Macaca fascicularis: one gene and its partner. The protein of the gene in region 2 interacts with the protein of the main gene of each other region in a biochemical or structural test. Links are inferred from orthologs where the notes say so. Each region holds a gene or a part of one and is shown on either strand. Other genes may lie near its edges.

Evidence for each region. The genes of interacting proteins can lie anywhere in the genome.
Region 1: of the proteins of PDGFRB (region 2) and PTPRJ, one has a biochemical effect on the other in vitro, tested with the Homo sapiens proteins (2 studies listed by IntAct). The link is inferred for Macaca fascicularis from reciprocal best matches to the Homo sapiens genes PDGFRB and PTPRJ.

The regions. Positions count from the first base shown.
Region 1 is NC_088388.1:17,853,675-17,857,929, reverse strand, and holds the start of PTPRJ (receptor-type tyrosine-protein phosphatase eta), read left to right. Parts: upstream 1-1,590; 5' UTR 1,591-1,596; coding exon 1,597-2,034; intron 2,035-4,255. UniProt on the Homo sapiens protein: Tyrosine phosphatase which dephosphorylates or contributes to the dephosphorylation of CTNND1, FLT3, PDGFRB, MET, KDR, LYN, SRC, MAPK1, MAPK3, EGFR, TJP1, OCLN, PIK3R1 and PIK3R2. Plays a role in cell adhesion, migration, proliferation and differentiation.
Region 2 is NC_088380.1:157,016,321-157,020,475, reverse strand, and holds part of PDGFRB (platelet-derived growth factor receptor beta), read left to right. Parts: coding exon 1-96; intron 97-633; coding exon 634-900; intron 901-1,640; coding exon 1,641-1,768; intron 1,769-1,887; coding exon 1,888-2,062; intron 2,063-2,638; coding exon 2,639-2,831; intron 2,832-3,483; coding exon 3,484-3,599; intron 3,600-4,155. UniProt on the Homo sapiens protein: Tyrosine-protein kinase that acts as a cell-surface receptor for homodimeric PDGFB and PDGFD and for heterodimers formed by PDGFA and PDGFB, and plays an essential role in the regulation of embryonic development, cell proliferation, survival, differentiation, chemotaxis and migration.

The sequences.
Region 1 (4,255 bases), on a different chromosome or scaffold from region 2:
GTCGCCATCTTGGTTCACTGCAGCCTAGGTTCAAGCCATCCTTGCATCGGCCTCCCGGGTAGCTTAGTCTACAGCCGTGTGCCACCACACCCGGCTAATTTTTGTATTTTTTGTAGAAACTGGGTTTCACTCTGTTGTTCAGGCTGGTTTCAAACGCCTGAGCTCAGGTGTTGCACTCACCTCGGCCTCCCAAAGTGCTGGGATTACAGGCGTGAGCCATCCTGCGGCTCGGCCAAGTTTCTTTATCCTTAGTGCTTCTCTGGGTGTGTCGTCTGGTGGGAGCCACGTAGACCCTGTACGTGAATGTGTGTTTCCATCTTGTAGATGGTAACCTGAGACCCAAGGGGTGTCTGGAGGTAGCGTTGGCCACCTGGTGGTCTGCACACAGAATCCAGCCTAGACTCATTATCCTGGCCTTTGAAGTCTCTCCCTGTATGAATCCCCCAGCCTCCCATTCCTGTTTCTCCCAAGGCCAAGCTTGAAGCATCTGCTGCCTCTTTTCTGCCAAGTTGGCCCCACCTCCTGAGACACTTCTCCCCTCTACTGGCCTGGTGAAACTCAACCCATCCTTCAAAGCCCAGCTCAGGTGTCACCTCTCTCCTGGTTGGAATTAACCTCTTCCTCCTTAGCACTCTCTGGTTTGGCCCTTTCTCTCGCGGCTTCTCCTGGGCAAGTGGCTTAGCCTCCCTGATCCTAGCGTCTTCCTCTGTGCATGGGCACAGGAGTAATATCTGCTGTGATTTTTAACTCCTGTCAGTTCATGGACCTCTTTAACAACGTGATGAAAGCTTCCAGAAGAGCTAACATATGTGGAGTCCCACGATGTGTCAGGCCAGGTATTTAGGACTTTACTAACCACTGTCCCGTCTAATCGTGAGTGCAGTGGACCTCTCTCTACACAGGTCCTAGTACGATCTTTATTTCACACGGGAGGAGAGGTGGGTGTGGGAGCGGCCAGAGAGGAGAAATGCGTCTCCAGAGTTCACAGAGCTGGTACTGCCAGCAGAGCCCGGTCCACCATATGCCACCGCTGGGGTTCTAATCCCTGGACTGGCCTCTACTGGGCTCTCTGCCTCCCTGGCCGGCGCTCGGGGTCTGGGGGACAGAACACAATGTACAGCGTGCCTCCTACAATTTCTGGGTTCACGCACCCCCAAGCCCACCCAGGGACAGGTCAAGCGCGCCTTCGCCGGGATGCTGTATACAATAAGGCTTGGCTGCGCTCTCAGCAGGGGTCTCGGTCAACCTCTGCCTACCCGAACCCGGCGCCGTGGACCGGGTGAGAGAAGGGGAGCCCGTCTTGAGGGGTGCCGGCTCGAGGCGCTAGAGCCACGGAGCCTGGTCCTGGGCTCGAAGTCCCAGGAATGTGGGAGGGCTGGGCGGAGGGGCGGGCGAGGCGGGGGCGCTTCCTCTGCCCGCGGGAGGAGAGCAGCGGCCGGCTCGGAGGGGGCGGGGGCAGCGGCGGGCGGCGGCGAGGGGCTGCGGAGCTCGGCAGCCGCCGGGCCGGCCGGGGCGGGAGGAAGCGATGAATATTCAGAGGGGGAGGGGAAGGGAGGGGGCCGAGCGCTCGCCGCGGCTCCCTGCAGCCCCAGCCGCATGACGCGCGGAGGAGGCAGCGGGAGCAGCCGCGGGAGCCGGGACCGGGGAGCCGCGCACTGGGGGTGGGCGCCGCTCGCTCCGCCCCGCGAAGCCCCTGCGCGCTCAGGGACGCGGCCCCCCCGCGGCAGCCGCGCCAGGCTCCGGCGTGTGGCCGCGGCCGCCGCCGCCGCTGCCATGTCCCCGGGGAAGCCCGGGGCGGGCGGAGCGGGGACGAGGCGGACCGGCTGGCGGAGGAGGAGGCGGAGGAGGCGGCAGGAGGCGGCGACGACGGTGCCCGGGCTCGGGCGCACGGCGGGGCCCGATTCGCGCGTCCCGGGCACGTTCCAGGGCGCGCGGGGCATGAAGCCGGCGGCGCGGGAGGCGCGGCTGCCTCCGCGCTCACCCGGGCTGCGCTGGGCGCTGCCGCTGCTGCTGCTGCTGCTGCTCCTGGGCCAGGTAAGCGCCGGGTGGGCTCGGGCGGGGGCCAGGAGGCTGGGGCGGGACTGGCATTGCCTGCACCTGCCTGGGAGTACCCCGCCTGGGGGGTTCCATGGAAGGGGGCGAGGGTCCGGATCCTCGGATCCCCCCTCTTGAAGGCGGCTTGCGGGGACCCCGGCCGGCCTCGCACGCCGGCGACCGAGCCCTTTTCCGGCTGCCCAGGATCAGGGGGAGGGAGGCGGGATCCGGGTTCCGCGGTGCCCGAGCCTCCCGGGGAAAGCCTCCGCGCGGGTTCCAGGCGGTCCCCGGCCCGGCTCTTCCCGGCGCTGGGCACATCTGGCCGGCACGGGCCCGGCTTGCCAGCCCGAGGCGGCCGGAGGGGGCGTGTTTGCGGAGGTCTGGGGACGCAGTGCCGGGCGGCCTGGCCGAGCCTTTGCCGACCGACCTCCGACCCGGCCTGCAGGGGCCCGAGGGGCGGCGGGGGCGCCAGGGCAGGGCCAGGAGCTGGGCAGTGGGGCCCTGGGCGAGGCACGGGACTCGGGGCCGAGGGCGCTGTTTCTGGGGAAAGTTCCCAGGCCGGGGAAAAGGTGGCCGAACGCTGGCTTTTCTCAAGGTAGCCGGCCCTTTTGGCGTCGTGCTTGATTTCATGGGTGTTTAATTCGTGCTTTGTGGGCGCCGGCTCCCCGTCCCCACCCCACCCCCGCCCTCTTGTCTTGCTTCACTTTTCGGATAATGCTGTCCCTGGCGTTTTGGTGACCGACCTTTCCCCTTCCTGGCATTTCCATAGGGGGTGAGGCAGGGCAGCTGAGGGGCATTCCCATTTCACAGATGGGGAACTGAGGAAGAGAAGTGAAAGAGCGGAGCACCCAGCCCGTGCCATGGGAGCTGAGCCAGCGGGCGCGTTCTCTCAGCCTCTGGAGCCTATCGGGGTTTGAACTCGCAGGGGAAGTGGCCTGGGGCTGCCCTGCTGTGCGTTTCTGCAAATGACCGTCTTGCTTGGTTTATACAGACACCATCTCTGAGGAAATGAGTTATTGACTGGGGATGGAACCTGGTTTCAGGGAAAACTTCTCCAGCTTGAATACAGGAGAGAGCAGAAGCATCTCCCTGGGGCAGAAATGCCGCCCAGCAGGCAGTAGGAGAAAGGGGCTTGGGCCTAGGGGCTGCGTGACCCTCGGCATCCAGGGGTCTCTCCTCGCAGTTTCCTCAGCAGGTTCTGCACAGGCTTTCCTGGGGGCCGGAAGGCAATGTGACCTCCTGCAGAGAACCTTGGAGTAGATGTCAGGAGACTGGCTCCAGGTCCAGGCCGCAGGGCTGGACTTCCTCTTCAGGCTCCTCTACCCTCAGTTAACAGCATCTGTAGAATGGGTGTAGCACCCCCTTCCCGATGGAATTGTTTGAGGGGCTTCCGCTGGCCAATGTCTAAAAGAGCTTTGTAAATATTAAGGGTTTCCAGATGGGATTCTCATTATTAAGGTACAGTGTGTGGGGGGGCTGTCTTCTCCCTGACCATGCAAGGAAATTCAGGGAAGCAGTGTCTGAAATTAAAAAAGCCTTGCATTTGAAGATTTCTTGTATCAAAGTTTATGCTAAAACAAACAAAAACCCCAAAAAACAAAAAACAGAAAACCTCCCAACTTAAAGCTTCATTTGTTTTTAAATATATATGTAATTTATTTTTTCGCTTCAGCAAAAAAAATTTTAAATTATAAATATAATTTTTTGTTTTGCTCCAGCCATACTGGTTGCTAGCTGTGCTTTCAATCAGCAAAAAGTTTCTTGGGTAAATTTATTGCTTGCTCAATCCTTCCTTGTATTTCATTAGCATATTGCCACTCTACACTTGTCCTGTATTTAAATATTTCCTTCCTCTATGGTTTGTTCTGTAGAACCTCAAAAGGACTCTCTTCTTTTTTTTTTTTTTTGGATACATTATGAAATAGGAAATCTAAAAGGCTCTCAGAAGAAGCATCTTCAAAATCCACATTCAGCAGTTCATTTTGATAATGGATATTTCAGGGAATCAGTGCCTTTTTGAGCTGGACCAGACTTTCAAGATAGCTGAAACCCCTCAGAGCTCTTAGATGAGGATATTGAGGTCCAGAGAAGACAGGGAGCAGGCAAAAGTCACCCAGCAAAGCATTAGAGAAGACAAGTTGGGAACCTGGGTCACCTGCCTGGGCCTTGTATTTTCAAAGTGCTGTTTTTTTTTTTCGTGTTTTCACTTTGATCTTACTTT
Region 2 (4,155 bases):
TCACTGGGCTAGACACGGGAGAATACTTTTGCACCTACAATGACTCCCGTGGACTGGAGCCTGATGAGCGGAAACGGCTCTATATCTTTGTGCCAGGTAAGGGTCCCCAGGCTGTGTGCCCACTCCTTACCCCTTTTTCAACTGGAGGCACCAGGGGAAGTCCAGAGAGTGCTTTAGTTTGTTGTGAAATGCCGCCATCCTAGAAAAGCAGACAATCATGGAACCAGCCTGGCTCAGTCCGGCAGTGTATTCGCCCCCACTCCTTGGTCTGGATGATCTGCCTGCTCCCTGACAGTCACCCCATTCCTGCCTCCCAAGAACTCTATATTCTCAGCTGCTTCCAATCTGCTCCCTCTTGACCCCACATCCCGTCTTCCCCATTCTCCAAGCTCCAGATATCAGCTGCATTTCAACTTGTGACTTGCCTTCTTTCTTACCCTGGCGCTGTCAATATCAAACATTAGAGCTGGAAGGGACCAGCTCTAACATTTGATTTATGCTCCTCTGGGAGTATCCCTATTCTGTAACGGGGCGACAGAGGGCCAGAGACAGCAAATGACTTGCCACACAGCAATTCAAGGGATGGCCAGAAACCCGGTTTCCCTGACTCATTCATGGCTCCACTCCTGGCAGATCCCACCGTGGGCTTCCTCCCTAATGACGCCGAGGAACTATTCATCTTTCTTACGGAAATAACTGAGATCACCATTCCATGCCGAGTAACAGACCCACAACTGGTGGTGACACTGCACGAGAAGAAAGGGGACATTGCACTGCCTGTCCCCTACGATCACCAGCGTGGCTTTTCTGGTATCTTTGAGGACAGAAGCTACATCTGCAAAACCACCATTGGGGACAGGGAGGTGGATTCTGACGCCTACTATGTCTACAGACTCCAGGGTGAGCCCCCTTTCTGGCCTGATGCTCAGCCCAGGCAAGTATAACCCTCCACAGAGCAATAGCCCTTTACAGTTTACAAAGTGTGAGACTCCACTTCCCAGTGGATTCTCACCACAGCCTTGGAAGGGAGATAGTGTTTTCCCCATGTTACAGATGAGGAAACTCACGCGCAGAGAGAGGATGGAGTTTGTCCTCTGTCGCAGAATTCGATAGCGGCAGAGCTGGCCTGTGTAACATGGTTGGTGAGGGCACGAGCTTCTGAGCCAGCTGGGTCGAAATCCCAGCTTTGCTATTTCCCGTCTGAGTAAGTTTACACAAAGCACGTAATCTCTCTGAGCCTGCTTCCCCTCTTGTAACGTGGGTATAATAATGACTGCCTACCTCATAGGATCATTGTGAAGATTAAATACAATAAAAGATGGAGAGTACCTGGCACATGGTATGTGCTCAATACATTTCTCCTGTACGTAGATCTCCAGAGTGTACTTTGATTTCCAGTCTGTTATCCCTTCTAGAATGTCAGCTCCATAAGAACAGAGATTTTGTCCATTTTGTTCACTACTGTTGCCCCAGTGTCCAGAATAGTACTTGGCATGTAGTAGGTATTCAGTAAATATTTGTTGAATGAATGAATCTTCTACATCAGTCATCCTTTCCCTCTCTAGCCCCTACCCTATCCCCAAGCTGAAGTGGTGGCTGGTGGTGACTTCCCCAGCCCTAAGCCAATCTCTTTCCACCAGTGTCATCCATCAACGTCTCCGTGAATGCAGTGCAGACGGTGGTCCGCCAGGGTGAGAACATTACCCTCATGTGCATTGTGATCGGGAATGAGGTGGTCAACTTCGAGTGGATGTACCCCCGCAAAGAAGTAATGTGGGGCCAGGCAGGGGTTGGAGGGGGGGCCAGGCAGGGGTGAATATCTGAACTGCAAACTGATTTCCCCCGGCCCCTCCTGATTTGGGGGGCCTGCCCAACCTGTCGCTGCAGAGTGGGCGGCTGGTGGAGCCGGTGACCGACTTCCTCTTGGATATGCCTTACCACATCCGCTCCATCCTGCACATCCCCAGTGCCGAGTTAGAAGACTCGGGGACCTACACCTGCAATGTGACAGAGAGTGTGAATGACCATCAGGATGAAAAGGCCATCAACATCACTGTGGTTGGTGCGTGCCTTGGGCTCAGCCCAACCCCCAGTCTGAGCTGGACCCACCGCCTGTCACAGCCCCGGGATATAGTCAGCCACACTCCAGTGCAGCCCTAGCTAGCCTCTGTGCCAACCAAAACCCCAATACCAAGACAAACCCAAACCAAAGTGCAGTGTCAACCCCAAATCCAACCCTATCTCAACCTAGACTTTCTGACTAGCCAGAGCCCCAGCCCCAACCTGACTTCCAAGCCCAACTGCCATCCCAGGTCCAGGAAGCCCCATCCCCAAATTCAACCTTACCACTAGTTCAACTTTATCACTAGTCCCAGAATCAGCCACATTACTGACCCAGAACAGAGAACTGTTAGTACAACTCTGGTCCCTACCTGGGAGCCAGCCCCGACATCCACATCAGCCCCAAATTCGGCCCCTTCTCCAGGCCCCGTCCCCAGCCCAATTTCAACCTCAGCTCGGGGAACTTCATGGCCAGCAGGGTCCGCAGGCCTGAAGCCCCGCCTCACAGGCTGGCCTCCTTTGGGATTCAGTTGGTGCCCTGCCCCAAGGGCCCGCCCCTGATGGTCACCCCTTGCAGAGAGTGGCTACGTGCGGCTCCTGGGAGAGGTGGGAGCACTACAATTTGCTGAGCTGCACCGGAGCCGGACACTGCAGGTAGTGTTCGAGGCCTACCCTCCGCCCACCGTCCTGTGGTTCAAAGACAACCGCACCTTGGGCGACTCCAGCGCAGGCGAGATCGCCCTGTCCACGCGCAACGTGTCAGAGACCAGGTGAGCAGCTCGCTCTCCCACCCCATTCTTGAAGTTATTTTTCTTTGCAGCCACCAGGCAGCCCTTGGCTTTCAGCCACAAACCTAGGCCCAACTTTCTGAGAGCATGTTAGGTGCCAGGTGCTGGGGATGCTGCAGCGACCAGAGCTGCCAGTTCATCCCTCCTAGAGCTCCTAGTCTAGTGGAGGAAACAGACGCCGGTCAGATGATCACCCAGATGTTTAGTTGTGCTTATGATGGGTGGGGCCAGCAGTAGCAGCTAAGAAGTAAACGGGCAGATGACTGGGGAAGAGGGTGCCAGGCAGACCATTCATGGCCTGTGGTATCCCTGAGGCTAGAGATTGCCTGGCCGATAGACTGTGACAGGTTAGGATGGAGCAGTGTCCACCTGTCTGAAGGGGAGAGAAATAGGACTTTCCCTTCAATGCTCCCCACCCCCACCCACAGTCCATCTCAACCCTCCCTCTTGGCTTAGGGGAACTGCCTATGGGTGAGGATTTATGAGACCGGGTTTGAGTCCCGGCTCTGCTACCAATGCCTAGATGACCTTGGCAAGCTCTTCCGCTCCCTGGTCCTTGTTCCTGTTTATACCAGGAGGGTGGGGAGAACTGTAAGAGGCCTTCTGACTGACAGCTGCCTTTCCTGCTCCCCAGGTATGTGTCAGAGCTGACACTCGTTCGGGTGAAGGTGGCAGAGGCTGGCCACTACACCATGCGGGCCTTCCATGAGGACGCTGAGGTCCAGCTCTCCTTCCAGCTACAGATCAATGGTGATGAGCACGCCCCTCCCCATGTCCCTTCTGCTTCCCCTCCCTGCTCCCATTCCCTCTCCCTTCCTGCACTGTCCACCCACTCTTAGGAGGGTGGGAGAGGGACCCTGGAACTCAGGAGATGAATTCTAAGCCACTGACCCACTGCCGTGTGAACCTGGCCTCTGGGCCTCAGTTTCCCCAGCTGTATAAGGAGGCCACTGGGCTAGATGGGTGTTTCCAAAACTTCAGGCGCTTAGGTACCAAGGCCATGATGTTTCCTTCTTACATTCCACTTATACTGTACTATTAACTCAGTAGGTATTTACTGAGCAACTACCATATGCCTGTCTGTTCAAGGTTCTTGAACTTCCCTCCCTGCCTTTGTGCAGCTTGCATCCGAGTAGGGGAAGACAAACACTAACAGTAGGGAGGCAAACTGCAGCAAATTACATAGGTTAGAAGGTAACTAACACTGTGGGAGAGGAAAAACAGGGGCCGGGTAGGGAAGATTGAGAGTGGGGCACAAAGTAATGGTGAGAGTTGCACATTTGATACAGTGATCAGAGCTGAGGAA